Linked DNA regions of Mytilus edulis. The protein of the gene in region 1 interacts with the protein of each later gene in a pairwise test. Links are inferred from orthologs where the notes say so. Each region holds a gene or a part of one and is shown on either strand. Other genes may lie near its edges.

The links.
Region 2: the proteins of serine/threonine-protein kinase 3-like (region 1) and small ribosomal subunit protein uS10 interact in a two-hybrid assay, tested with the Drosophila melanogaster proteins (2 studies listed by BioGRID). The link is inferred for Mytilus edulis from reciprocal best matches to the Drosophila melanogaster genes hpo and RpS20.

Annotation. Positions count from the first base shown.
Region 1 is NC_092355.1:58,083,058-58,099,317, forward strand, and holds the start of serine/threonine-protein kinase 3-like, read right to left. Parts: upstream 6,773-16,260; 5' UTR 6,643-6,772; coding exon 6,629-6,642; intron 1,649-6,628; coding exon 1,568-1,648; intron 119-1,567; coding exon 1-118. Other genes in the region: endoribonuclease LACTB2-like, read left to right, coding at 7,005-7,141, 9,804-9,967, 11,487-11,607, 12,675-12,777, 13,552-13,773. UniProt on the Drosophila melanogaster protein: Plays a key role in the Hippo/SWH (Sav/Wts/Hpo) signaling pathway, a signaling pathway that plays a pivotal role in organ size control and tumor suppression by restricting proliferation and promoting apoptosis.
Region 2 is NC_092344.1:106,805,388-106,822,058, forward strand, and holds the start of small ribosomal subunit protein uS10, read right to left. Parts: upstream 6,313-16,671; 5' UTR 6,295-6,312; coding exon 6,292-6,294; exon of another isoform or gene 6,154-6,291; coding exon of another isoform or gene 6,151-6,153; intron 935-6,150; coding exon 838-934; intron 434-837; exon of another isoform or gene 239-433; intron 1-238. Other genes in the region: transmembrane 9 superfamily member 4-like, read left to right, coding at 6,633-6,689, 12,474-12,563, 15,112-15,214, 15,723-15,766, 16,242-16,354.

The DNA.
Region 1 (16,260 bases):
TTGCATTATGGATATTTCTTTAATGATTTCCTGTAGATCAGTATCCACTGGTACCTGTTTGATGGCCAGAACCTGACCGGATTCTTTATGGAGGGCTTTATACACACTGCCATAAGACCTGTTACAAAACAAAGTATAATTAGTTTTCTCGTTCGAATTGTTTACCATTTGTCTTTTTGAGGGCTTTAATCAGCTGACTTTGCAGGCTTTGTTCATTGTTAAAGGCCATACAGTGACCTATAGTTCTTAAAAACCTGTGTCATTTGGTCTCTTGTGGAGAGTTGTCTCATTGGCAATCATATATACAACATCTTCTTTGTTATATATACACACAAAATGAAGTCATTCCTAATTTGAACACTATAACACCTAAAGACATCAATGAAAGCTTTGAAACTTAAAATGTGTTGTTTCTTTTTAATAGACGATCAAAATTAAAATTGAAGATTGAGCTGTCATGCTAAGTAATTATATATGTACAGGAAAAAGGCACACAAATAACATTTGTACAAGTTCTACAAGTTACAACACATCAAAACAATGTCAAATTCATTATTCATCTAAACTAACTTTTGATTCAAATTGTTAAAAGACCCATGCATCAAATAAATTTATAAGATATATTCAATTTCAATTTTTTGGAGTGCCTATTCTATGTATTCATGCTATTACAAAAAGAACACTTAAGAATTCCCTTCGTTGAATTTTGCGAAAGGTACCTATTTGAAATAAATGTTCAATTTGTTCTCGTCTGGAATATATATATCATGTATAGAATAACATATTTTCACAAAATGTTGGTTTTCCTGTTTGAATGGTTTTACTATAGTAATTTTTTGGGACGCTTTATAGCTTGCTGTTTAGGGTGAGCCAAGACTCCATGTTGAAGATCGTAGCTTGAACTATAATAATTATATATAAATAATAGTTTACTTTTTATGAATTGTTACTTGAATGGAGAGTTGTCTCATTAGCCCTCATACCACACCTTCCTATATCTATTTACCACTAGACGTTCAGCCAACAATTACAATCAAGGACATAAAGAAGAATAGGTGTGTTTTCCCTTACCCTACCTACATTGACGAGGGGGGATAGGAGGGGTCTTGATCCCGAAATCCCGGACTTAAAAAAAAACGAAATCCCGAGGTTCCGAATTTAAATAAAGCAAATCCCGACATCCTGAAATCCAAAAAAAAGGATTCCCGGATCCCGAAATCCCGAGTTTTAAAACACCCGATCCCGGAGTCCCGATAAAGGTCCTATCCCCCCTCTACATTGACCTACCCAGAAAATACATTGTAGCTGTGTACTCAAAATCTTTTTTTTATTCAGATAGACATGAAGACTTGTACCCATTTAACATGTCTAGTGCTTACATTTCTCTCTGCCAAAAAAAAAAAAAAGAAAATGCCTACCTACATATGTCATGTATGTACCTACCCACTTTCTCAATGTTTGGGTAGAGTTTGGACAAACCACAATATTATTAAGTGTGGCCCAATCTTTAGCATGTTTAGTTTATTGACACATTTAAGTAGTTTATATAATTGCTATATATTCCTACCCTCTTCCTATTTTACAAATAATATCAAATACTTCATCAGGTGGTTTGGCTAAACTTTCATCACTTAGTTTGGTCAGCTCACTACAATATACAACAATAGTAATTACAATATATTATAAAAGTTTTGCCGGACCCAACAAATGTTGACTAGACCTTTATTTTCACTCAAAAATAAAATGACTCTTTCATTTTGTCATTTGAACAATTCATTTTTATTTGGTTAAATTATATTGTAATATGTTATTCATATTCACAAACATCGTAGTTTACTGTCATTGACTGTTATATTAATACAAAAATGATGATCCAAAAGTAATTCCTCTCAGGTGTACTTTTGACACAAGATAATCATCATGATCATTGGTTGGTTCATTTTGGTCAAATTCGAAATCTAACTCATAGTCTCAATCATTATCCCTACATGATGATATACATGTACTATAAATTCAGGAATTATGTGTGCATTTATCATGTTTGTTATTGCGATTTTGTCATTTTAGAATAAAATGCAATTTAATTATTGCAACATTGAGAAAAATCCTGTGTGATTCATATAAACAAATCGAAATGAGATTTAAGATTATTGGGATTATAACATAACCCTGTCACAATTTTCCAATAATAAAAACCTTGCAATAATTTCTGAATTTAAAGTACAAGAATTACTATCAGACAAGTCCTCGATGCTTATTTCCTGAACATCCTTACTAAAACTAGTAACAGTAGCTAAAGCTTGGAAGTATCTGAGGTTGTTCATAATTATATACAGACTCGTTGGTTGGTTATTAGTTTGCACAGGTTCAAGCTCAACTACCTGACCACAGAAGAGATGTTTATTTTTACTTTTAGATTGTCACTGATACTACGTTTTCCATGTGAAATGCAGCCATATAGTGCAGGTCATCCTGTTGTTGTCCATGTTGTAAACCAACCATGGGCACCCCTCTTGCCATTTTGATCAAATGACCTACATGTATTAGGCCTCTTTTCCTTTTCATATAAGGACTGTAATCTAGGGAAGATCTTCTTTGGCTCAACTAAAATTGAGAATGGAAATGGGGAATGTGTCAAAGAGACAACAACCAGACCATAGGACAGACATAAGCCGAAGTTCACCAATGGGTCTTCAATGCAGCGAGAAACTCCCACACCCGGAGGCCCTGTTAGAGGCTACCTTTATATCTTGAGGTCTACAACACTCTTCTCGTTTTCTTTTTCAGGGCTGTGTACCATCCATCCAAGTATTTCAAATAATTATGACGTCTTGCAAGGCTTAATTTTTTTCAGGGATGCCTCAGAAAATGATTAATATACATGTAGCCTTGCAAGACGTCATTATCATTTGGACTACCATCCAAGCAGCTCACAGGTCCACCACTGTACAACCCCAAGTATTACACTTGGAAACCCTGTCCAGTTCCTTGCCTATCACCTAGACATGTGACGGTCATCTTATGACCTGGTCAAACCTCATGACCATACCCTGTCCAAACATCTAACCCTCAATCTTTGGATCTAAAGCCATAAAGGCAGAGCTCTAAGCTGCTAACGAGCACAAGAGGACTGAAATTGGACTGAGACATCATGCTAACTCAGGGTTCTCGCTAAGGAATTTTTAAGGCGAGTCCATTTAGATATTTCTGTTTAACTGTGCTCAGTTTATATGGGGACGAAGTCCCCAATAACAGTAGAAAATTCAATAAAAAAAAAAATCGGGAAAATTTGGGGTACTAATGAACTCAAAATCGTTCAATTTTTTTTTATGTCATGTTTTGAATTCCTGCATCTGCGCAGAAATCTACAATGTACTTCCTTTTTTCCGGTCTCGTTTGCATGAAATTTTGAGTAAAATACATATTTATCAGTCCAGTATAGAATAGGAAGAAACGCAATATCAATTTCATTTTAAATAATTTCTTGATATGAAAAAACGTTACCTAATGATAGCGTTTCTTTGTTTACATTGCATATGACGTCATAACTAAAATAACGTCACAACTAAAATCCCTCACAACAGAACCAAAATCGGAAACGTTACGGTATTTCCGTTTTGAAATTAAGATGTGTTTGAATTAAAAAAAAATCATAGACTTCGTCCCCTTTCACAGGTAATGCCTGCCTCATATTATAAAATATTTCAATCTTGATGCATCTGTGTCTGTGCAGTGATCGGGAAGGTCGTGCGCCCTGCGCCTATAGCGCATATTGACCAGAAATGGCGCATAGAGTGACAAATGTAAGCGCCCACGTGGCGCACGATATTTTTCACATCGTTTCGAAACGTTTAGATATCGTCAAATGGATTTCCGATCGTTTGCATGCCGCCATGTGTGTGTACACAACTGTATAATGTTCCTCCAATCATAGGAGCACCTATATACATTTTTGGGACGTCTCGGTTGTTTTCCTATGGTAATAGAACCATGAAGTTTAACGTCTCAGGTGTTTTCCTATGGTAATAATAGAACCATGCAGTTTAACTGATATCCCAAAAAACGTAATTAACCATCATTCATGATACAATTTTTTGTAAAGAACTTTAAATTTGTGAAATTTGGCTATTACAGACGAGATTTAACTCTAATGATAATCTTTTAATTTAGTTTAGCTTGCTATTACAAGGCCGTAACTAGGCATCTTATTTTAGTGAGGCAAAATAATTGAGCCGAGCGAAGCGAGGCGTTAAATTTTTTTGGAGGGTATGAATGAATGGTGCAAAATCCTGCGTTCTAGGCATTTTTAGAGAGTTTGATAATGTTTTGAATTTGGACAGTTTTTATATAAATTGTTCATATTTAAAGACTTTTACTAATACCAAATTTTTAACAACTTTATTTGAATTTGTATGTAAGATAATCATCCAAATATCAATTTAAATCTGCCGCCAGAACATAGAACAAACATCGATTCAGTAGAGTTTGCCAATTATTTCTATGGTGGGTTCAGTCAAATTGTTTTAGAATCATAACTTTGGTCTGCTGATATCCTTATCGCGATGAACATGGAGCATGGCAAGACCGCACAACCTCTCGCCACTCATGTATGCTCTTTTCCTAGATTTCAGTCGTTTCAGGGCAGTCTGTGTTTCTAAAGGTAGCACATTATCATCAACACAATGATCAATGTCTTCTTCCAATTCCTTCTCCATCAGCAATTCGGTAGCAGCATCGGTAGTAACAGTTTTGTTTGCAAAAGGGAATTAAGCTTTCCTATAAAGGCTAGCATCATCATACAGTCTCAGTTACAAAATATTAAACTCGCTTGTATGCTGACAAAGAGTAAACAAACTAGGGATAGAATGGGATAAGATACATGTATATGATCTATCTATAGAGTAAGTATATATGATATGGGTACAGGGGAATTAAAATGGAGTTTTGACGTTTACATGTAGGTCCGTAATTTCAAATTATTTCTGGAAATAGTCGGTGGTATTTTAGTTCCAGAATCTATAAATTTAGGGGTTAGGGGTTGGGGGTGTCTGATTCCGAAACCCCGAATATAAAGAAATGAAATTCCGTAGTCCCGAATAAGTAAAGACAAAATCCTGTGATAAAGGTTCTATACCATTCCTCAATAATGTCAAATTGGAATATGGGATGTTCTTTCAATTTTTAAGGTTAAAGAAACATGGATCATGAAAAACTAATCCATGCATGTTTCATATTATTTATATTTTATTTATCTGTAAAGAGAAAGATTAAAGTTGATGAAACGGAGAAATGAATACACAGACAGGACTGCCCCCTTGCGATGCCGACTACTTGATTTGTCAGTCTACTTATCGTTTTTTGATTGTTCTAATGAAGTTATATGCAATACGCAGACTACGTTCACAAACAAATTAGTTTACTAGAATTATTCCTTCTTTACCTTCAGTGTCGCTTTTCCTTTTTCTGCAAGAGCCTGTTTTTAACCAGAGATCCATGATGATTATCGTTACTAGGTTAATGTAATTGAGAAACATCACCCGTTGAGATGCTGAGTTATATCCAGGAAGAATAGTTTAAAGGAATGATGAAAAGTTATAGAAATTAAGGTTGAGACAGAACAACAAAAGACTATTTTATTTGTATATATGTATAAAAAAATTAATCAGTGTCGAAATTTTAGTGAGGCAATTGCCTCACTTGCCTCAAGGGTAGTTACGGCCTTGTATTATTTCGATTGAAAACCCCCGAAGCCTTTTTATGAATATAGTTTTTGTCTCCATAAAAGGCGCTTAACTGTCCTTGCCGTTTTTTGGTCTTTGGCTCGTTTTGACATTTTGTAAACATGACTTCAGCGAATTATTGTTTTGTTCTATCAACTAATGGTACTCTCTACTGTTATTCTTGTCGTCGTGATAAAGTAATAATAATAATACAAGAAGTGCAGAGGAAGTGCCTGAAATGTCTTCTAATACGGAACGCCTGGAATAAGTATGATATCGACGAAGACCCAAATTTATTGTTAAAAAAAACCCAACATAAACATGAACAAGTCAAGGCAACAGTACCAGTTTAAACATTGTAAATAAAGGTTATCTTTAATATTGTCCGTTTTGCAAGAAGTTATTGTATATTCATTAAAATTACAGAATCACAGGAACAATATCCATGATATTATTTAAAATCATAAAGATAAGTTACAACACCTCTTTGGCAAAAAATAATGATACTTTTTATTTTTTTTACAGAGGTCAATTCAAATGGCCCACTCATTTGACAACATGGCCCATTATTTTTTAAAATGGCCCATTGAATTTATTTTTGAGGGGCCCTGGGCCCATAGTGAAAAAAACCTTCCAGATCACTGTCTGTGGACTCACAAGTTTTGAAAATGGTGAGTCCAGACAGATTTTGATAAGTCTAGGACTCATGGGGTCGCCTTAGTGAGAACAATGCTAACTTGAAACTTCTGAAGAAAAAATGTAACAGGATCTGTGTGTGTGTATCTGTTTGAAGTGATTTGTTTTATTTATTTATTTTTTAGTTTGTGACAGCATCATTTTAAGGATGGTTTTATTATCTTCTTCAGAAATCACAGACCTGATGAAGTAAAATTATATATGATACTCACCTTTGATTACTCATTTTAAAGAATAAATTGTCTACTATCCGTCTGGATTCATGGAAAAAAGTTTTAAAGTGAAAACAATGAAAGTTCTGATGTTTTCGTCTTGTCCGGAAGTAAATCAGGAAAGTCGTTCGTGTTCAATGAAAAGCTTTTTCTCTAGCCACAATGTGCCATCTTTCAAACGTTAAATTGATTTTTTAAGTTTCCGACAATATGCCGACCTTGTCTGATTATTTTTCTATTTCCTCAATAAAGATTAATTTTAGTATAGTATTTTTATTTTTAGTTAAACCAGCAAATCATTCAACAAAGCATACATTCTTAACCCAAAATGCCAGGTCACATGACTGTCATGTGATCTAACAAAAAATATAGAAGAATGGCATCTTCAGTGAAATTAGCTCCACTTCCTCAAATAGAAAAACTGTCAGAACGTGTAATCAGAATATTAGGATGCAATGCAAGACCAATGACTTTACAAGGCACAAATTCCTACTTGATTGGTAAAGGTGACAGGTGAAATTTCAATAAAATATTACACTCAGTTTGATGTCAGTGATGATCAAATATTAAAATCATCATCAAAATTATATAATTTATCTAGGCTATACTATAGTACTGAGTATTGGCTTTAGCCTAAAGATGTTCTACATCTGACATCTAGAACATGTTGAAGTTGAGTCTTGGGCTAGCACATGATGATATTTGAACCTAGGTGTGTGAACTCAGAATGTCTCTTTTAATGTACAGTGGCAAATAGTTGTGTGTATATATAGAATGTAGGACAGAAAGTCACAGGACAAAAAGTCACAGACAAATAGTCACAGACAAAAAGTCACGGACAAAAAGTCACAGGACAAAAAGTCAAAATGCATTTTTTCTGATTATTTTCTTTGAATAACATGAATAAAAAAAGCTTATTTTTAACAAAATATTTTTGTATTTTCTTTAACTATTGTATAAAAACCAACTTTGTAAACAAAATTTATCAAAAAAATATCAAAGATGAACAAATAATTGTTAAAAAAACAAAATGTCAAAGTGGCTTGGCACTTCAATGGCTTCATGGTGCCAAGAAATCTTTCTTTTGTATGATTAACATCAAATAAATCTTCATTTTGCAAGTATAATGACACATTCCCTAAACTTTAATATAAATATATGTATTAAAAAGTAAATTTTGCAAGATATTTCTCTTATATATTCAAACAATTGTCAACAGATTATTTGTGACTTTTTGTCCTGTGACTTTTTGTCCTACCAAATTTGTGACTTTTTGTCCTACCAAATTTGTGACTTTTTGTCCTGTGACTTTCTGTCCGTTTACCATATATTCAACCTAAGACTGCTATAAATTAATGTGTTGTAGTAGGCTCAGATTCAACACAAGAAGATATTAGGTAGCAATACACTGTTAGGAGTTTAGTTTGCATTGGCCCTGGTGGATTTTTCAAATAGGAATGTAATTGTGTAATAAAATTCATTTTCAGACAGCTGAGTACTAACTTAGCCTTCAAAGATGGTTTATAAGAGCATTAAAATTATTTTTTACACGTTTAATGGGCTATTTTCTGTATGACAATCCATATTTTCATAGCTTAAGACTGGCCATCGGTTCAGAAACTAATGTAATATTTACAAACATTTTTTTTCTACACGAAGTTTCTGATGCAATTTTACAAAAAAATGAGATGAAAGACATATGATTTTCATTGGATTTACTGAATGATATATGTACACAGTTTAAGAAAAGGTATTACTTTAAGCGATTGAAATTCTACTTTTAGCCAAATTTTGGGGAGATATATATATGTGACATCTTTCCCCCTTTTTGCAATATTTTATAGCAAATAAATGCAGATTGTTGCCATGGATACACCCAAAAGAAATTATATTTTACCATTTTATATTCTGGATATAAAATCTATGAAGGATTCTGACTACATACATGTATGCACATATATAACACAAACAGTTTACAAGCTTATATATACATGTAACTAATTTTGCAAGAAAGCAATGAAAAGGGGATGGTAAAATTTATGAGGGCAAATTTTAGTATTTTTTCCTAACTGTTTATTGCAACCTTAACCCCCCAAAAAACCAAAATGGTTCTATTTAACATGTATATTAATTTATAAAATTTATGCCAATTATAATTATTACCACAGAAGCATTTCCATTCAGGAGGATCATGAAAGGTTATTAAAACAGAAAATAGAATTGATCCTTTTCAGCAAAGCATATATATCAGTAAGGGGACTTACCTAAATGAGTGATTTTCTAAATCACTGATTCAAGTAATATTATTTCCATAAAAGTTGGAAGTGAGAGTTGTCTTTCTCTAATAATCACCTATTTAAGTAGTACAAATTAATTACTAGAAGAAGTGATTTAATTTTATGTACATGTACATGTAGCTTTAAATATACAATACTGATCCAGGGACTAAATATGTTTATAAACTTATCAGAACCAACATCTGCACTGATAGGATGACCAGGTCATGTCAGGTGATGACCTTGTACTGAATCTAGGATAGTGAGATAAAAATGACTTGTTTAAGTATCATATCTCATGCAATTTCCCTCCCAAAATTCACTTCTTGAATAAGTATCACTATTTTGATGACCCCCACTAATTCATATTGTTGCATTTACACATGAACCATTCAACCTAAGCTTTTCAAATTTTAATATGTTGATACTGATGACAGAATTGAGGTCAAATTTGACATTGACGATTTTCACTTTCACCGTTCATCAGTTATGGTTCTTGTGATATTGCCAGGACACAAAATTAAATGTTAATAAATCCGGTTTGCTGTCGTTGTGACAGCCTCTAAGTCTTGTTTCAACTAAAATAGAATTTGCAGCTAAATGACAGCATCAAAGGCATAACCTTACTACTAAAAAGAAGCAAAAAGTTTTTTTTTTTCATTTTACTAATGAAAAGATATTATTTAAACCTATGTGTTAATTTTTTTTTACTAAAACTACAAAATCACGTTTTGTGACAAAACTTCGAATTTGCTACTCAAATAAGTGATTTAAAAATCACTTATTTCAATAAGTCCCCTGACTGTATATGTTGATCTTTATATTATATCTTTGTAATATTTTTGTCTCGTTTACATATCCCTCATCACATACATTTGATTTTATATATATAATTTTAGGAGAATATTGTTGGATACCACAGACACAGGAACACCTGATTACATCAAGAATTTACAGAATGTCCTATCACAACACAAATGTGGCATACAGGAAATAATTATAACTCATTGGCATGCTGACCATTGTGGTAGTGTTCCTGATGTATGTAACCAAGTCACAAAATGTAATTATTATACAAATGTTATATTTAATCTCTAAAAAAAGAAAATAATAAATATATAATACATGCCTTCTGAAGAGGTGGATTTAGAGGGTTTTCAGGTGGCAGCACCTTTTTCTGAGGCGAAAATTTGGTTATTTATATAGGGAATCACTGAATCATGACTGGAGCGCAACCTTACCTCTTTTATGAACATTTCTGGATCAGTTACGGTTCTGGGAAAGTGAAAAAAACAAGAACGATTTGAAGCAAGTAAGGATATCAAAGTAAAAATTAACTAGGTTAATTTACAGCTACAACAATGTACTAGTTGTCAGTCAGGATTAATCTTTGTTCAAATGTTTTTTGATTTACTGTTACATGCAGATACATTATTTTGGAGGTGTAGAGTTATATCCCTTTAAAAGACATAAAGATTTTATTTTTAACCAAAATGTAAATAAGAATGTCTTATTTTGACTACATTGCTCTAGTATACAGTCAGTGTATAATTGTCATTGCTATTTATAAAATGTATAATTCCATCAACCATGTTAACAATAAAAATGTCATATTAGTAGGTCATTTAAAAAAAAAAAAAACTCTTTTACATGCCTTTAGCAAGCAATTTTCAAGACTTTGCACAATTAATTATTATCTACATGTTTAATAGCTTTCCTTGCTGAGTTTTTGAGATAAAGGTGGATATTAAGGTGTTGTAAAAACAAATAACTTGTATATATAAGTTAATTTTGGTGGAGATCAAAGGAGATTATTCAAAGCTTGAAAATAAAATCATATCGTAGTTTACTTATGTAAGAGAAGGTCCGAGACCACAATTGTCGTCCTTTGATTTTCGTTGTTCACGAATATAGTCCCTAGTGTTGACAGTGGGTTACTTGCCAATGTTTTTTATACCCCTTCCAAATTTATTTCTCCATGTTTTATGCCTCAAATTGCAAGTAGGGAGGTGAAATTACACTGTAAAAAAATTTGGGTCCAGAATTTTAAAGGAAAGTAGTGATTTGGTCCAGCTGAAAAAGGTTAAAAATTAGCACTTTGGAAGCTGTCAAAAGATTTCAAGACGCCCTAAATATAAAATTGTCCATATTTTGAGTTAGAGCTGATGAAGTTTTCTATAATTTTGATATAATTTGTCCCAAAAGTAGTACAACACACTGTAAAAATTTAATTGAGAAAGCGCAGGTGGGATTTTTTATATTTCATTTATGTTCTAAAAGAAATGCACTACGAAATAATTGTGGTCTCTGACCAGAACATTACTTGTATCTTTAAGTAAATAAATATGTATAGGTATTTTGGAAAAGATGTTACAAAGTTGAAAAACGTGTGTCTAATCCATTTGTCCATTTTGAACAATATGAAATATGTTTAGACTAAACCAAACATTACCCCTGATTGACTACACTATACATGATCTTGTCCTTGAATGCATGCAATATTTACAGCAGGACTTGAAACACCACTCCATCCATCCACCCTATTATTGAGTAATATGTGTCTTTTTATTTTATATTCACAGCTCAAGAGACCATTGTATCAAAATTCCAAAGATTATCTCAACAGGATCTAGACATCTCTCCAGCAAAGTATACATTTGTGGAAAACAACACAGTGTTTAAAACAGAGGGGGCTACTTTAAGGTGTGTTGGTTGTGTGTTGAGGTATATAATAGAAAAAACAAAGGATATGAAGTATCTGTCATGTCTTGACACAAAATCAGTTCATACATAGCAAAAAAAAAATGAAAAGAAACAGCATTTTCATTGCTGTTCTTCATTTCAAAGTCACAGTGAGGCCATCATCTAGGAGTAAAACAACTCTCACCTCAATGCAAGTATATTGGTCATTGCTATACACGAAATGAGATGTGGGTTTAACGGTGCTGCAGCCAAATATCACAATTAAACCAACAAAGACCTCTCTACTTTAACATGCTACCTTCAACAATGATACTGATTCATGCTAGTGGCAGGTGTGTACGACTCAAACCTTATTTGTGACTTAATGATTGCTACTGATCTGCCAAAAGTTTGTGGTTCTTCATGGACTCTACTTCTTCCTCCACCAATGAAAACTGGCTCCTGTCCATAACATATAGCCAAAAGTGCTTGAAGTGCCAAAAAATCAATCAACAATCATACCTGTAGCCAGGGGGGGTTCGGAAGAACCCCCCCTTGAAAACAATTAATGACTGTTAAAGTCAACGTTCTGTTCGAATTGTGACTGTTAAAGTCGAGTTTTTGAGGCCAAATAACCCCCCTTTGGAAATTCCTGGCTACGACCCTGCCAATATTGAATAGGCAAGTGTCCGTACTATACATTTGTACAAACATGTAAAGATCTTAATCCCCATGGTCAAGAAATAAATGATGCTCAATTTAATTGGGATTACTATTATCTGCAAACAAAACACAGTTTAAGGTTAATAAAGCTTTAATTGGCCAATTACAAGTTGTTGAACGAAAAGGCTTGTTTTATTGTCATTTTGATCCTTTACTGCAAATGTAAAAAATAATTGTGAAAGTTAAAAAAAATAATATTACTCTTAGAATAGATATGAAGTTATCAATAATGCATGGATTTGTCATGTATATGCATTTCTTGATTTATGTCCATTCAACAGATTTGTTTTGTTTGCAAAGAAGTGTATTATATTAGAGAATGAATTATGATGATTTAAAACTGAAAGTTAATTTATGTATTTCAGAGCTATACATACACCAGGTCATACTGAAGAACACATGGCGCTGTACCTTGAGGAAGAGAATGCTGTGTTTTCTGGTGATACCATACTAGGGGAGACAACTGCAGTATGTATAATAACAATGAATGACAGGAGAATTGCATCTTGTTTAATTTATTTTCTAACAATAAAAGGGCCTATTTTCTTGAGAGTATGTATACTGTTAAGTTTAATATTTTGAAAAACAGATAACAGATGGTTTTAGTTGAATTATCTCTTATAAGGTTTTCCCTGGAATTATGTCTTTGTGAGTTAAAAACAACTGCCTATACTAGTTTTACGCAGAAGGTATCACCTGTAAAAGCATAAAGTCTATTTCATTTAGACCTGCATACTGTAATTATACACCCTTATAGACGAATTCTGCGTTATAATTTATCTATAGAGGAAAATAAAGCAACAATCAATATAGTGAAATTGATTGCCTTTCTCTGTTAGCCTCATGTGAATGAAATCAATTGAAAAGGTAAAACAATTTTATGTAACGTTGATACTATCGATATGCATCATATCAGATGCTGATAAGATAATGTTAAGGGTACCAGTATTTTATAATCAGAAATTAAGGTAGTTAAGGGTACCATGCACATTTGTCAGTCAAGTTTAGTAATTTCATTCAAATTGGAATAGCTTATGTATCTTCAAACTTTTTGGATATCAATCTTAGATTTTATGGATGAAATACTTGTAACTGAATTTATTTAAGTGTGAAATAAGTGAAGTTTGGAATGTCACATATTATACAAATAATTTTTGCCAACTTTTGAATCTTTGTTATCCAATAAATAGTAGAAGTACCTAGATTAACAAGAACCTAAATTAAATAAATATCTATTTATAGGTATTTGAAGATCTACAGACCTACATGGGATCTCTATCGAAAATACTTGAACTGAACCCATCAGTAATCTACCCTTCTCACGGTTCAGTGATCAATGATCCTACTGACAAATTAAAAGAATACATAGCTCACAGGATGAACAGAGAACAACAGATTTTACATTGTCTGAAAGAACTAAATCAACCAATGACAGCCGAGGAGTTAGTAGAGAAAATATACACGGTCAGTTTGATTTTTGGGTAAAGATTGCATGGTACTGACTTTATTTCTAAATCCTCCATGGTTTATCACTACTTTAGGAATCCACAAAATATAGTGCATTGATCATAACATTTTAATCATTGGATCATTGAACATTCCCAGAAATACATCATTGAAATATATATGCTTGGATATTCAAGTTGCAAAATGATGTAATACTTGTCAAGAAAACTACATAACTTGTGCAAGGTGCAGTATTAATCTAGTATCTGTTCAGACTTGCCAATTTTTGTGACTTTTGATCCAAATAACTCTATTTGTCTTAAAAATAATCTGTTGACAGTGTTCTCCCCAGGCCGTTTTAGCGTCGCGGTACATATAATTTTCACTGTGATGCTATAATAATTCCCCGCAACGCTATAATTATACCCGTGACGCTATAATTATTCCTGCGACGCTATAATTATTTTGAAGTTGCTATTTAACTTGTCCTCAATTTTGAACTTTCATCTATTATCGATTATGATCATAAAAATTATATCACCTGTAATTGTAATCCCTTTAAGTCGGACTTTAAAGGCAATTAAGAGATTAAATAGCCAGGTGTTAATTGCCCTGATGGTGATAACTGTTTTGATGCGAATATCCCAAGCTGACACTTGTGACATGACTAATACCACGTGTCTGCAATCACCAATTTCGACATGGAAAAATGCAATCACAAAAACAATTCGAAATCTGTGTTTTGTATTACGAAATTTCAAAGAGTAAAACGATTTATTTTTTTTGTTAAAAGGTCGTTTTCGGTTTTCAGCTAAAATAAGTTTTATACATACTTCTTTAAAAAGTGATCATGATTGGCTTAAGTTTATGTTTAATTCATTTAATGCATTAAAGGCGTCTTATTCATTCACAATCTCTAGTCAAACTGTTTATTCTCGGACTCATTTTCGTATATTTTTCTATGGCCGCCATTGCACATTTTTGTGTAAACTACGGATCGGAACCGGACCAGATACGACAAAAATCCGCATTTTCACGATAATGACAACAGAAGGACGGTAGACAGAAAAGATATACCAATAGAGAAAACTACGCATTAATAGACTATTTGTTAGATAACTTTGTTAAAAATACGTATCATTTTGATGTAAAGATAAGAAACAACAGGGACTAATTCATTCAGTGCCATGAAACAATGAATTTCATAAACATGATAAAAAAAAGTTTTTAAATTGATATTTTTTTTGCTACTTTATCTTAACTTAATATAATATAAAAAAATAGTTAATTTTGTGTACTAGATATTCAGTTTTGTATATATACAGGTTGCACTATAATGAACCATTCATTCATTTGACTTATTGTTGGGTAACTGAAAGCACATATTTATTTTTATTTGACACAAGAGCAAAAAAATAATTCTGTAACTATAAATGAATAAAGAAAACATAAACTGAAACAACTGTTTTTGTTGTTATAGTTTAATTGTATTCTCAGTTATCAATTGAACAATATAAACTAAAACATATAAAGGAAATAGAGCATCAACGCGACGCGACAAATGACATTAAAAAAAAATGCAGTTATTTTTTTACGCAAAATGTGATGCTATCCAAAATTTCTGGGGAGAACACTGTGTTGACTTTGAAAATAACATGAAAATAACAGAACTGGGTTTTTTTTTGTGTTTATTTTTGTCAATTCTCTTTTTAGCAGTATTTCAAATTCCGATCCTGGTCCGAGACCACCATTGTCGTCCCTTGATTTTCGTTGTTCACAAATATAGTCCCTAGTGTTGACAGTGGGTTACTTGCCATTAATTTTTATACCCCTTCCAAATTTATTTCTCCATGTTCACTGCCTCAAATTGCAAGAAGGGGGTTGAAATTACACTGTAAAAAAATTTGGGTCCAGAATTTTAAAGGAAAGTAGTGATTTGGTCCAGCTGAAAAAGGTTGAAAATGAGCACTTCGGAAGCTGTCAAAAGATTTCAAGACGCCCTAAACATAAAATTGGCCATATTTTGAGTTAGAGGCGATGAAGTTTTCTATAAATTTGATATAATTTGTCCCAAAAGTAGTACAACACACTGTAAAAGTTTCTTTGAGAAAGCGCAGGTGGGATTTTTTTTATTTTCATTTATGTTCTAAAAGAAATGCACTACGAATTAATTGTGTTCTCGGACCTAAGAGGTGAAATCTGTAAATATAGAATTTGTACTCTGGCAACTTCCCTAAATGATTTGATGGTGTCAACTTGTCAAATAGCATGAAACTAAAGGATTTAAACTTTTATTTTATAGAATTTCTGCCAAAACGACCAATTTTGACATTTTATGGTCAAAATAGGCATTTTATAACTTTTTCAATATTGATGCATAAATGGCATCCTGACTTTCTATCTGACAGGTTTTTATGTGTCAATATTTGTGTTTCTATGCCTTTACCTGCTTCTTTTACTTATTTATGAACTCTGAATCTACAGAAAAGAAGTTTATCTCAGATA
Region 2 (16,671 bases), on another chromosome or scaffold:
CACTTTTGCAATGTATTACATGTACATATGAATATTGGACTACACTAGATGATTTCCAAAGTGATCAATTTCTAATTAAACATTTATTCCATGAAAATAATAAATCTTTCATGTATAGTTATCAACAACACACACAAGATAAATATTTGTGGAAAACAATTCTCTCTCAGATTTTAAAGTTCTTCTCTTATTAAAAAAATTGCATAACATTTGAATGTTTAAATTTTATAAAAATAGTCGTGTCCCAGAAAACAGCCAACTGTTGCCATAGTGATCTTTAGATCTGCAACAGTCCCAAGTCTGCAGTCTGAGGTATACTGATATAACACACCAATGACTCAAGCACCTTCGATGGTACAACAATGAAGTTGTTGGACATTGTCACTTCAAGCATCCATGACTTTGTCCCAAAGGTGGATCTAAGGAGTGTGTTTTTAAAATAATCTGCAACTATTTTGGCACAAACTGTTCTTTCTTCACTCATGAAATATCTGAAATCATTTCAGCTTCTGTATATGTTGACTCTTTGGCAATCAAACCACATCTTCTTGTTTTATACCGATCGCAATACACTTCTCGCACAAGTTTAGAGAAAGCAGGAAAACTATTGATTTGTAGCTTGATTTGAAGAATGGGTTTTGCGGATTATAGAATGCCATACAGTGACCTATAGTTGCTAACCTATATAATTCATAACATAAAAATTAACTAATGAATATGATTAGCAAGAAAGAAAGACAATTATTTTGCAAAGAGTAATATTTAATGAGGTTGTTGCAATGCAAGAGTAGTGGAAAACAGCGATTGTCTTTTCTAGAACATGTAAAAGTACTTTACCTTTTTCTAGACTTTTGACATTTCTGCTTGTAAGAGTGATTCTAATTCTGTGAATTGTTGCCTCCTCAGATGCAGGGGCTTTCCCTTCCTTGTATGACTGAAAAAAATAAAACATATTAAAACATGCATGTATTGGTCTCAATTTTCCAAGACAATTTTGATTGGTGGAATCAGCCATTGTTTTTATCGGAAGTGTTTCCGTGGAGTTGAGTTTAGAAAATTTGCACTACGCGCGGGAAACTAACAACACAACAAGAATATTACAGGAAACTCCGAAAGTGACATGTAAACATCAGATCCTCATAGAAACGAAGATGGTGGATTTACAATGGAAAACATTCTGGAAAATGTGAAGGTCAGGATTATTAGTGCGATCACTTTAAAGGTAGGTCAGTAGTGGTTTTCTTTCAACGATTTATGAATGGAATGTGAAATACTATATCTCGAGTGAACGCGATTGATAGTAGATTATTTTTACCGATAACTGCTATGAATTTCAGCTGAAGGCAACTATAGTTTATGTCATTTTCATTATATATATTTCATCTTGTGATTATGATCTATTGTGTAATTTTTTTTAACCTGTTTTTATTGTCACAGCATTTACAACTTTTACTGCAATAAAATTTTCATGTTTAATTAGTAGGGTCGGTCAGCAGTTCTTCCAACTTTACATTGAGCAAATATACAAGATTTGGCCGAAATAATAATAAAATCAAAGGAAAATGCTGCCAAATAAAAATGAACATACTTTTTTTTGGCCCAAGCATTATTTGACAAATCAGAAAATTTTAACCAATTTTACACTTACGACTATTGCAGTAGCCAAAAATTACAGTTTCATGCCTGGTGCTACAGGCCATTCCTACCCTCATGCAAGCAAACCTTGTAAAATACTTTTGTAGTGTATTGTCCATCAATCATTCAATGACAATGATATGAATGGATTCACAACCATCTTTTTATGTAGTCCAAATAATTATGACGTCTTAAAAGCTATTATAATTTTTTTTCTTTGACACCTTACTTCGAAGTAAGGTGTCAAAGAAAAAAATTATAATAGCCTTTCAAGACGTCATAATTATTTGCAGGGTTCGACACTAACGGTAGTCCGGTGCCTCCCTAAAATCTAGGAGGACTACCAAAACATGGTTAATCAGTAGTCCTGTGGACCACCTGGAAATTTGTATATGGTCTGGCTATTTCAATGCTAAAAATTGGCATAAAAGTCCTCCCAATTATGTTTACATTATTCAAAGACAGTGATGACAGTGATGGCATTTGGAAGAACGTAAATTTTATATTGTTATTATGAAAGCACTTTTGATATCCAGATTTCTGATCAGAATCTTCACAGTGTTTGTAACACATGGGATTTTCAATGTAAAATGAAAATGTCTGATAACCAAAATGTGAAGAAACTGCAGAATAGACAGCAAAGGTCAGCAATAAAAACGTAGGTGTCAGAGATAAAAAAAAAATACTTCCCAAATTTGGATAAACAAATTATTACCCCCAAAAAAAGAAATAGGAAGAGTTAGTTTGAAAAAAAGCCAACAATATTTTTGGTGGCTTTCTTATTAAAAAAAAAACCATATATGCATGTCATTCATAATGGTATTAAAGGCATTTTGTTTTAGCAACATATCCACTGAATTGCTTTCAACAGTGATGATGAAGTTGACCTCTAGTTCACAAACAAAGACTTTGTATCACTGTGGTAGTGTGGATTTTTATCATATTAATCATTTATATATTTTATATGTTTTATAGGTTATTCCGACACACCATTAATTATATTCTTTCATTTGCAGAGTAGTTTACTTAAGTTTACCTTTATTCTATTGATTGCCTATTGATTATTCATTGATCCATAAAATCTAACTGTTTACCTTGTAGCATTTACCTATTATTGATTTTTCTATCAGTACTCACTGTTCACTAGAGTGTTTAGGTTTTCTTGTATTCTGATTGGTTTATTAAGCCTTGCCCCCAGTTTTGGTGGTAGTTTTGAAAACAGTAATGGAGGATTGATGTCTTTGTTGTGATCCTGATATATTTGTATGTTTTGATGCACTTTGTGCTCATAGACTTTATATTGTGATTGATTAGTAGCTCCATAATTTCTATGGATTAGTATAGTGATGGAATTCATTCTGGAACAGGACATCATGACTTTATATGAACCATATTTGATGTGAACCTCTGTTACTATTACTGTAGAAGTATGAAGATCGTTACTGTTAGTATTGTGTAGACTGTCGATGTTAGTTATTAAACTCAGTTCCACAGACTGGGTTAATAATAATTCTATGATTACATCATTGTTGAATAAAGAACCCTAGACTAAGATGAAATGGACTTGTTATTATTTGACCGTCCAGAAATCACCTTTTACATCACTACAAGAAAAATCTTATAAACTGTTTGAAGAATTAATGAAAACTTTTGACTTATTTTTATCCTTTTTTTCTAAATAATCCTGGAATAAAAGGTCAAATAACTCCACCTAACAAGGCCTTAGAAATTGTCTCAGATTGCAGATTTTGCATTTCGTTTTTCAAAATTTTCTGATGGTAAAAGTTCAGGAGTAATAAAATTTATTCACTGAATGTCAACTTTAATTTATCTGAAAAAAAAAAAATATTTTCAAAACTCAAATGAACATTTGTGAGCTTTTGAGGTGCTCAGATGGCAGGAAATTGCATATAATTTCGAAAAATTTTCTTGGGGGGGGCATGCCCCCAAACCCCCCTAGCTAGTTCGGGCCGCAACGCGGCCCTCACCGGTGATAGAGGTGGACTACCAGGACTACCCCAAATTTTTCCTTGGTAGTCCTGTGGACTACATCACTAGGTACAGAAAGTGTTTTTTTTTTTAAATCAACTGATCTAAGAAAACTTTACCTCATTTTAAAGGCATTGTGAAGACATTTTCAAAACAGTTTCACTTTTATCAATATACATAATAACAACGAAGAAATAGAATATTTTCAAAATGGAAATTTTTACTATTCTGGAAAAACTGTTTCCTCTCTTTAAAAATAATAAAATATATTTTTTTAATCATTTTGGTTATAGTTTTGTTTATATTGCTTCTTTTACATCTTGTTAGTCAATTTCAATCCTCCATATTAAGTTTTTTGGTCAAAATAGAAGCCTAAAGCATGAAAATGTCAACCACTCTCATGAAATTCTATCGTCCAAAGTCACGTAACATGACGGTACCTTTATATATTCCTTTTTTCAGAGCATCAGTTGGTATATTGAAAATGTAAAGTAAAACTTTATAAACATTTGAATGTAAAGAAACAAAATATAAATATGAATATTACTCTTTATATACAAATGTAAATGTTTAATTGTGTGTGTGTGTATAAAAAAGAAGATGTGGTATGATTGCCAATGAGACAACTCTCCACAAGAGACCAAATGGCACAGAAATAAATAACTATAGGTCACCGTACGGCCTTCAATAATGAACAAAGCCCATACCGCATAGTCAGCTATAAAAGGCCCCGAAATGACAAATGTAAAACAATTCAAACGAGAAAACTAGGCCTAATTTATGTACAACAAATGAACGAAAAACAAATATTTAACACATCAACAAACGACAACCACTGAATTACAGGCTCCGATCCTGACTTTGGACAGGCACATACATACAGAATGTGGTGGGGTTAAACATGTTAGCAGGCACCCAATCCTTCCCCTGACCTGTCACAGTACAACATAAGAACGAACTATAAAAATCAGTTGTACCATGAGAGTCAGTTGTACCATGAGAGACAAGAATTGTTTTGAAATATGTCATCTTTGTATTGTCATGATAGTATTAGAATGTTCCCTTTTCATTAACATTCTATTTAATGAAATATTCTTATTCTTATATACAATGTAGCATGTATATTAAATGCTTATAAATAAAAATAAACAACAATCTTTTACATTTTTAACAATTATTCTACAGGACTAAAATACCTGTTGCACTGAAAAACAATGAAAATAATAGAACATTATTATTATTCGAGAAATTTCAAACAAAATAATTATGTCAGATCACTGTAAATACTTATATGTATAAAAGTAAAGTAAATTCATATCTGTATATCAGTTACAATATTTATACAGTGAAATCTGTAAACCAATCTCATTCAGGACTGAAGTTCAAAATGCATTGAATGTGAATAGCATTCGAAGTTAACTGCCGCTACTGCATGGATTTCTATGTATGTTTTTAGTTGAACATGTTGAAACTACATACATTGATTGTTGTTAAACCACATTATTCATTATCCTTATTATCTCGTGTGCAATAGCAAGTGTTTGAACTATCTTTGAATCACAATAAACTGGCTGTATTATAATGCCAAAAAAACCTATCGCCGCTGATTTCCAATCAAAACTAAACCAAAAGTTGGTCATGCAAGGGAAATAACTCTGTATACACAAAAAGAAGGGTTATTTATAAAAAAATAATTTTGATATGAACACAGCTATCTAGATTTATTTATTGGACCTAATTATTTAATTAATATATTAAACTTAATAAATAAATACATTTTATGGCTGTATAAAGTTCCCTTGTATTTTTTTGAAACAAATGTAACTTTCAAACCCTTGTTTGTACCTCAAATATTTCATCGTATTCCCGAAAATTATAATATACAAAATCATGTATATTCATATAATATCTATCAAAAGCAATCAGAACCTTCTGAGTCTTACCAAGTTAATAGAAGGCCGTAATCGGAGGTCACCCAAAGATTTTAATTTTTCACACATCTGGGAACAATTATTTAGGTTAATTTGGAGTTATCTCCCATTGGTTTGCCATACCTAACATCACCTCTAATGTTAGTGTCAAACCCTGATTTGGACTACTTTTTATGTTAATTTTACAAATATTTTTTTTTCCAATCACGCCACCAAAAAATAACAGCAGAATAATTATAATCATTAATTATTAACATATTGATATGAAACAAAAAGTATAAAAAAAAAATTTGTTTTGATTTAAATGAAACAAGAAATACATATATATACCTATGGTAGTCAAAATAATTATGACGTCTTACTAAGGCATAAAGAAAAAAATTATAATAGAATTTCAAGACGTCATAATTATTTGGACTAATACCTATGGATACCTATGTAGGGATATATCATATAGCCATTTATAATTATAGGTATAATTTTGTGTCAAGTCAGAGAAAGTATGGTGAATTCAACCAACATCTTCATACTTTCAGCGATCATTTATCATTCATATTGTAATATATATAACATTCTGAAAACTGAATAGTAGTACCATTTTCTGGCCGACTTAATTAAAGAATCTTTAAACAGAGGTGAGCCAAACACTTCCAGCTACCAGGCAGTTTTTCAGAAAAGAAAGCACATGGTTGTTGGGGTAGTTGATTAATTAATAATGGGGAAATATTATTTTTACCATCTGATGTCTATTGATTCAACAAATACATTTTGTATTCCCTTTAAACGTATCTTATAATCTTTCATAAAAATAATGATATCGTAATGTGAAGTTGACTGGTCAATACAAAAATTAAAATTATCTAAAATTTTCACTGTCTTATTTCCCCATTTTAGACTTGGAACAATCTGTATAGTTTCGGATTAATAAAAGTGAAACTGGAGTTAAATGTTGATTGACGTTTAATCATATATACGTATATGAAATATTTGCAAACAGAAAATGGTATTCAAAATTTACGTGTAAAATAAATTTTTAAGTTTATATTTTTTTTATCAAAATAAAGGGGAAGTGACGTTATGATTCCACGTTTAGCAGGCAAAATGGCGACGAAAATGACACTTCTTCTTGTCGGCGTAAGACTTCCATTAAAATTATTCCGGAAAAACTCCTTGCACACATATTATCTTCATATCAATACTCTCATTACTTTGATGCTTTATAACAATGACTTTTTGCATTGGTGGGCGCTTATGCACGACAAATCCTATCACCTGTTTTGACAAAACATCATTCATTATGATCCGGTTTCTAAGTTACATATCTATAATAGTAAAATTACGAGGTCCAATTTGTCAGCCGTCATCACGTAAAAACGACGGATCAAAGAATTCAACTTTATATATAACTAATATAGTACTAAGGTGTAGATTAAAAATTACACCACTCCAGGCCCTTTTGTTTTCCCACGTAATTAATATTGCCAATAATTAAGAAGTTCCGGGTCGAGTCCGATACCAATAGTATATTCACCTGTTACCTATTACCTTATCTGTACGTTCCGCATCTGACAGGCGCACCAACAAACGGTGTATTCAGGATTAATATGCTATATATGCGGGTCATAATCACAGGGTTGACACTACTAAATTGTCCAATTGTTACCTTTTGTAGTATTTTAATCAGTATGACTTTCTAAGATAACAATACGAATACTAAAAATCTGGACTAAAAATAAGGCGTATAGGTACAGTTTTCAATTTGTTAGCGGGCATGACGTAAAACAGCGAATCAAAGAATTCAACTTTATTTATAACTAATATAGGACAATGCTGTTGATTAAAAAATACTCCATTCCAGGACCTTTTGTTTTTCAAATGATTAATATTACCAATAATTGATTAAAGTTCCAGTTCGACGGGTTCAAACAGAAAGATTTGAAAGCATAGAAAACTGTGTATCTTATAATCAGCATGACTTTATCAGATGACAATACTAATACTCAAATAATGCTTGTGCATAGTTATATACTTTAATTCAGTCACGGACCCGCAATATCACGGGTGTGTTCTAGTTTTATATAAAGATTGAGCTTGTCTTCTTCATTTATCTTCTGTTTATTTACACGGTAGAGTTGATAAAAAAAACTCAACATGAAAGCTTATTTTGATTTTGGATTAAAGTTTGCAGTGGTAAAATATCATTCAAACGAATATCTGATCGCATGATTCATTGTAAAATTGTTTTAAGTTCATCAAGTGTCTTCACGATTGTTATTATGCAGATAGTGTTGTTTTGTCAATTTCATAATGACAGCAAGTCTAATTAAAAATTATGTGGGTATGAATACCATTTTCAGTCGGTAATTTTCAGCTATTTTTTTGCATCACATTAGCTAAATTTTAACATCAGGTGGCCAAATATCCTAATTATGATTATAATGCCAATAAGAAGCCACTGAAAATAGTAAAACACACTACTGTCAAGAGAAAAGGAAATCACAGATACTTCCAGAAAATGTTTATAACATACCATAATGTATGCAGGGATCTCCATGGCCTGTTTAACGATGGCGCCCCGCCATCGTTCAAATTTCTTGCGCCATTGTCAAATGACTTGCGCCATCGTTCAAATGTCTTGCGCCATCGTTCAAATGTCTTGCGCCATCGTTCAAAACTGTGATCGTTTTTATAGCCTGATGCCATTTTTTTAGCAATTATAATCAAATGCATGTAATTGCATAACCTTCAGGCTTTCTTTATAGTATAATCCAGTTCTAACACCTGAGGGATATCTGAATTAAGATCGCTAATCACTTGTACCTAAGCTTGTACAGGTAGATCAAACAAAGCAGACAGGAGAATATTATCTGAAGATAGACGATTCATTTGTCAAATTATTTAATTAAGTTTCCGCAAATGCTTATGATAATTCAGATTAAATAAATAAATTATTAGTCCAGTTACAAAGTTTAACAAGTAGAACACATGCTTTTATTTTGACTTACGCAATCAGCATCCCCCTTTTTAAGAAGTACAAAATAAGACGTAAAATAGTCATTATTATTTCATCGCAAATAACTCGAGTTTTGCTGTACTGTAACAAAAATATAGAATTACTTTAAAAGTTGAAAAGTAAAAACTTTTAATATTTCCTGTAAATAAATATCGTATCGTAATTCCGAATTCATTTCGTAGTTTACAATCAAATTGATACATCCGCGTTTCCGGTTTCTATTCAGACTCGAAAGATGCATGTTGAATAGCATCTATTTGCTAGATAAGTCATTAAAAACCTTTTCATTTGACAACGTTGCTTTACAAATCTTTTTAACCTTTTACATAACCCGTATGACTCGTTTTGTCGTTGCTGCAAACCAGCCATACCGGTAATGGGTTCATGAATTCTGAATTTGACAATGTCCGTGAAAAATAAGCTCCACATGAATTTTAACCCCATAACAATTACCAAAAATAGCAAGAAAACTACATGGGGACCTTTGTGATAGCTATTGGTCATTCTCGACTAAGGGAAAGGGAGGGGGCCTTTGAAGAATTACAAACGGCAATTATTGAAAATATATATACTTTTATATAGTATTTATAATGAAAATTCAAATAAATATAATTTAAATAAGCAATGAATTAGCATCTTCACCTATCCTTATGTGGAGGAATGAATTACTTTCAATCGCGCTACGCTGTACGGCGTAGATACAGTTTATGATGGTGAAAGTTCCTCCATCGTTCAATTTTCATCCATGGAGATCCCTGGTATAACAAGTTCAAAATTTTAGTAACTTGTTAATTAGCTGGCAAGTAGGATTTCAATTTGGCGAGTTCCAAGAAAAAAAGGTTTCACACACTGCCTTACTGATATCACTAAAAATTAAATGTCGTTATGGAGGTTTGTTTAAATTAAAAATAAAAAGCGCGAAAACGGTCAGTACCACATGTTTTCAAAAAGTCAAATTTTGGTAATTTGTGTTGCATTGAATAAATAAAATATGATCGTAACAGAAAATTAAAAAAAATTGTACATATTGGCGTCGGAAGACATTAATTTGTAACTGCCTGCTTGACATCTTATGTATTTTAGACAATTTGTTATTAGGACGACTTCCATGACTGGTTACCGTTAATTTTATGAAGAAGTGGTACCAGCACTTTTCATTTCATTTCAGAAGTGTACACATAATTTTTACAATCAATTCATTAGTCCCACACATTGTTATATGGCTTCACTGTTGAGGTGGTTAGATAGTGCAAGACCTGGAAATGCACCAAAAAGGCCGTTTCACATGTCTGACCGAGTTACAGAGGCTCAGAAAAAGTATGAGAATAAACGCGTCCGAGAATTAAAAACCGGTTGGACATACGGTCGTCCCTGGCTCCAGTACAAGAATCAAGCAATGTTCTGTAGCTACTGTAAGGAGCATGGAAAAGGGCCAGGCATTTATGAAGGAAAAATTGTAACCTATTGATACAAACTTTCTTCTTTTCTTGGTCTGCATCAGAAAGGATGATCTTTTTAACTTTCAAAAGTTAAATAATTTGAATGAGAAATTAATTTAAACTAAAATATGATGGCAAGGGGTTTATATCTACATGTTTGTCTGAAATTCAAAGAAAAGAGTCTTAAACCGTCTTGTAAACAGTTTTGAGAAGGTTTTTATTGAAGGAAAGTAGAATTTTTTATATTACAATACATGGAGAAAAAAACTACATTTTTGACAAGTTATACATGTTATATACACTTCCAGATACAAAAGTGTAACCTCAGAATGCAGGATTTTACATCTAATCCAAATTTTTTCGATGGGAGGCATGCCCCCAAACCCCTCTAGGGCCAAAATTAAAAGATTGTATGTTTGCCCAAACGCGACCGACCCAAAATAAACCCGCCGACTCAAATTCTTTTTTTGACGTTTTTTGGAAGAATTTTTTTTTTTCAGATTTATATTGGGTCCACTCCGTCATCGTACAAAACTTAATGTTTGTCGTCTTTGCGTTTGAAAGTAATTGTGAATAAGATTAAAAGAAAGCATATAAGAGACGCAGTTAATCGATATTCGATGTTCTCTGTATTTATCTTCTGATTTAACGAACGTAAAGAAGTAAAACAAGTGAAGTGGCACAGTTTTTTTACGCTGTAGTTGTTTGTACTACCAAACCCTTAGCTATATGCTCAATGTTAATTTCATCGTGTTATCGAATATCTGATAAGAATATTCAGGTAGATTTGTTCAAAACCATGTGCAATCGAATATTTTCAATGTTATTCTGACAGGAAATGGATCCGGAAGTTGCGAATTTACAATCTTGCAAGATTTTGTTTTTATTGAATAAAAAGGAATTATTTCTTGATAAATTCTTCCTTTATCATGTAAATTAGATGCCCTTTTATTCAAATAGTTCAAATTTACAAGTCTCGTTAGACAGTCAGTACGTTGCAGTTTGGGAGAATTTGATAAAACTATAATTGCTCACAGAATCAGAAATATAATCTTAACTGATTGTAACTCCTTCTGAATAATTTATTGCAATATAAATATAAATCCCTTTTGACAAGAGAAATCTGACTTTTGTCAGAAATATTTTTTCACATGTGCAAATTATGGACGCCATATTGGATTTTTATACAATTTGTGAGGAAGCCTCTAGAACCATGTCCTAAAAATAAAGTCTTCAGAAAACGTTAACTTTATGCAATTATATTTTATCAATAATGATTATTTTCAAAAATTTAAACTTGATTATTTAAAGAAATAAAATTATAACAAATACGTTTTTAGTTTGGAGATTCTACAGAACATGTTTTGATCTATTTATAGCCAAATTAGTTTACCTGTGTGATAATGTAAAATATAAAAAAAAATTTAAAACATAATAAAGACACAAACTAAGAATTCATATAAATATTTTATAACATTTAATCTATTTTAATAGAAATAGGATTTAAAAAACTGCAAACAAATTTAATCATTACATAATGGTAGATACATAATCAGCTGATATTTTTTTTACACAAACATCGTGTTGATGGAACTGTTGAAAATCACTTCACAAATCCAACAGCCCTTTCACACAGTTAGCAACTGTCAGGGTTATAAACATTTCAGGATACAAATCATATAGTAAACTAATTTATTTATAGAGGTTTTAAATTCATGGCTTTTGGCTGTCTCTATAAAGGTTTGACAGAGAAAAAAAAGATATACTGTTTTAAGATCTTTTAATATTATCATGCAAATTCAGAAAAAAAAAAAAAAAAAAAAAAGAATTTGCCTACCTACCTACCCACACCCAGTCATCATGGGTCGGGTTTGGGCAAACTGAAATATTTTTAATTGTGGCCTAGTTGGTTCAGATCACTTGGTGATCCTCACCGGTGACACAACTTTTATTCGGTCTAGTACATATAACTTTGGGCTAGTATTTTTTTTTTAACTAGCCCATAGGGCTTGTGCTTTCAAATTGTTTGGGTACAGACTGATGTAGATGCCCATAAACACATAAAAGATGTTATTGAGACAAAAAATTATGACTGAATTGCAATGAACTCTTAAAGTGGTCAATTTTCTATTTCCAATTTACAGATTATCAGATACATGTTTCTTCAGTGCTTATTCAACAAACTATAGACATTTTTACACTTGTATGCAAATTTGTACATCATTTCTTAAAATCACACAAGTTCCCATAAAATTTGACATCACAATTTAAAAAATCTGACATCATAATTAGAATTTAATTGTTGCTTGCTGTCAGAAGATTATTCAGAGCAGATCTTAGGTCATTTGGAGACCAAATCCAGCTATATACCAAAGTATCAATATGTTTATTTGGCTCACAACTTGGTTGATGAAAAATGATAATGACAGATTCACACTCTGTAAAATTATTTTGTTCTAATTCCAGGTTGTTATCATGGCTACTTACTGTAATGGATTCTATGTACCAGGAGTAGCACCTGTAGAATTTAACAGAGAAGAAGCAGTAGAAGTTAGGGTAAGACATTCTTAACAGTATGAATATAAAGATTCTAAAACCATTCTTTCCTGTGGGATACCTTATTACAGTGGAGAAACCCAAATTTCATTTATTAAACTCACTACTAATAAAGAATTGAAACATTTTGTTATATTTCACCTCAGGATGCCTATTTACCAGTCTTTAATATTTTTTGTTCAAAATGTGGTAAATAATTTATTACCTCTGCTGCAATTATTCATGTCATTAAAAACCATTAAAAAGTTTGGGGAAACAAAAAAAAGCCTTGGATTAAAAGACAATAACAATCAAAACCAAGGAGTAAACAAAGACTAACAAAACCAAGGGACATTTACATCAACAGTTATAAATAATAAATAAGAAACAACATGAACTCCACTAAAAACTGGGAGTGAAATCAGGTGCTCTGGAAGGGTAAGCATTTCCTGCAACGTATACGGCACCTGCCGTGTTATTTCTTTGTTCAGTTCAGTAATGATGGAAGGTTATTATGACTGAGGAAGAATATCAGATATGATTTCTGACACACTTTTGTCATAATGGCCGATAACAGTTTTATGATGAAATTTTAAGTGGTTTGTTTTGACTCTAAAATGACTCAAATTGTTTCATTTTCTTAGCTTCTGTTCAATATTAACTTATGAACAATAGTTTTATCCCCATAAAAGTATCTGTCTGTCCAAAATGTCTTGCATGCACTTTTTCATTACAAATGGATGGGCTAAATGATTATTGATGACACTATTAATTGTAAAACACTACCTTGGGGCCAAAATAAAAAGATTGTATGTTTGCCCAAACGCGACCGACCCAAAATAAACCCGCCGACTCAAATTCTTTTTTTGACGTTTTTTGGAAGAATTTTTTTTTTTCGGATTTTTTTTGGGTCCGCTCCGTCATCGTACAAAACTTAATGTTTGTCGTCTTTGCGTTTGAAAGTAATTGTGAATAAGATTAAAAGAAAGCATATAAGAGACGCAGTTAATCGATATTCGATGTTCTCTGTATTTATCTTCTGATTTAACGAACGTAAAGAAGTAAAACAAGTGAAGTGGCACAGTTTTTTTACGCTGTAGTTGTTTGTACTACCAAACCCTTACCTATATGCTCAATGTTAATTTCATCGTGTTATCGAATATCTGATAAGAATATTCAGGTAGATTTGTTCAAAACCATGTGCAATCAAATATTTTCAATGTTATTCTGACAGGAAATGGATCCGGAAGTTGCGAATTTACAATCTTGCAAGAAGATTTTGTTTTTACTGAATAAAAAGGAATTATTTCTTGTTAAATTGTTGTCTTTAATTATAATCTTCCTTTATGGTGTAAATTAGATGTCCTTTTATTCAAATAGTTCAAATTTACAAGTCTCATTAGACAGTCAGTACGTTGCTGTTTGGGAGAATTTGATAAAACTATAATTGCTCACAGAATCGGAAATATAATCTTAACTGAATGTAACTCCTTCTGAATAATTTATTGCAATATAAATATAAATCCCTTTTGACAAGAGAAATCTGACTTTTGTCAAATATTTTTTCACATGTGCAAAAGTAAAAACATGTTATGGACGCCATATTGGATTTTTATACAATTTGTGAGGAAGCCCCTAGAACCATGACCTAAAAATAAAGTCTTCAGAAAACGTTAACTTTATGCAAGGACGTATATTAGTTGTTACGTCCTTGCTTTATGCAATTAAATTTTATCAATAATGATTATTTTCAAAAATTTAAACTTGATTATTTAAAGAAATAAAATTATAAAAATACGTTTTTAGTTTAGAGATTCTACAGAACATGCTTTGATCTATTTATAGCCAAATTAGTTTACCTGTGTGATAATGTAAAATATAAATTTGTTTTCAAAACATAAAAAAGACACAAACTAAGGATGGTAGATAATAATTCATATAAATATTTTAGGACATTTAATCTATTTTAATAGAAATAGGATTTAAAAACTGCAAACTAATTTAATCATTACATAATCAGCTTAATTTTTTTTTACACAAACATCGTGTTGATGGAACTGTTGAAAATCACTTAACAAATCCAACAGCCCTTTCACACAGTTAGCAATTGTCAGGGTTATAAACATCTCAGGAAACAAATCATATAGTAGACTAATTTATTTATAGAGGTTTTAAATTCATGGCTATTGGTTGTCTCTACAAAGGTTTGACAGAGAAAAAAAGATATACTGTTTTAAGATCTTTTAATATTTTCATGCAAATTCGGATAAAAAAAAAAAAAGAATTTGCCTACCTACCTACCCACACCCAGTCATCATGGGTCGGGTTTGGGCAAACTGAAATATTTTTAATTGTGGCCTGGGCTGTTCATAGTCATGATACATGAATATAATCCTCATCCTACATGACATAGGGAAGGTATTCAAACTAACTTACTTACATTATAATTGTAATATGTTGTATAAAACTAATAGTATTGCTGGATGGGGATATCTGTTTGTGAGAACACTCGCACTTTTAGTTTAATAAAACTATTTTTCACTATAATGATATTGATTTTAATTTGCAGGCTGTCAAAATGACCAGTGTAAAAACACAGCTGCCCTTTGACTACTATTCATCACCATTCTGTGTACCTATAGGCGGAAAAGACTATAAAGCAGAAAATCTAGGTAAAAGTCATATATACATGTACATAAGCATATGATTTGTAGTATAATTCAGTGAACATATTTCATTATGAAAAAATACATTTTAACAACCTGTATTGTAGGTCAAATAATGGTTATGAAAAAAAAGGTAAATTGTCATCTCAGATTGTCAGATAAACTAACATGACTATAGCTATTAAACAAAGTTTTAAGTACACTCTGTTTTGTTGATTTCATGGGTATAGGTAAACCACTTATTAAATTTTCAACAAAATTCCGAAAAAAACCCAAAATCAAATATTTACAATAAAACAATGCTTCTTTAATCCAAAAATTAGTAATGTACCCATGAAAATGTATGCCTCTACAAAAAATGATGTATACATTGATCAGCTTAGAGGAAGGAAATCACACAAAATCGGGAAATGCAAATTGTAGAGAAAAATATTTAGTAATCTTTGATAGGGTTTTCCTGTCTTCCGAATGAAAACATTAAATACTGTTGACTGTTGTTATTTTCTGTTTTTAGGTGAAGTTCTTAGAGGAGACAGAATTGTAAATACTCCCTACAAAGTAAGTATGACTTCTAACAGCTGGATACAAATATAATTATTTTATAAGATAAGATAAAACATGACAGAAAACAAAGAATATACCAGATAGATGAACAGAAAAACTGTGTTGAAATGTTTTGATAAGGAGAAAGATTTAGAAAAAATCTTAATTTAATGTCAGACAAGATTACATGGATTATATTGGATTAAGCATGATAAGATTATTAATAACGGTTCATGTTAGAGGTATGCTTTGAGCTTTAACAATTATACAGCTTCTAGTATATATATTAATAAGATGTGTTATGATTGTCAATGAGATAACTATCCAACAGAGACTAAACTACATAAATGATGGCAACTATAAGATCTGACTTGGGCTTACCATCTCAACACCAAATATCATTACAAATGGGAAAGACTCACTTATTTGTATTTTTTATTTTGTGTGTTTTAATTGTTTCTGGGCACTGCAAAGTTGATCTTTTTTGTAGATCCAGATGGCTACACCAAAAAAATGTTCTATTCTTTGTGATCAGAAGACCTTCTCTGAGAAACAATCAAAAGAAATGGCAGAGAGAATTAAACATTCTTATTTTGTTCATTTGTAAGTAATCTACAAACAGTGTAAACATTTGTCTGTTGAATGTATCCCTATATTGACACAATTATATATTGTATCATTAAAATATAGAGAAAACAAACAAAAGTTACTGAACAAAATTTTTGTTCTGCCAATCTTATAAAAATTGAATATGTGAAAAATATGGTTTATTTTAAATTCTATTATAATTGGATTTCTGTTTTCCTTTTTAAAGTTGTATTAAATCAAAACTTGGCAAAAGAAATAGAGTTATATAAATGTAATTCACATCGAAATTGAAAACATGTAGGCTAATGAATAAAATAACACATGTGATTGGT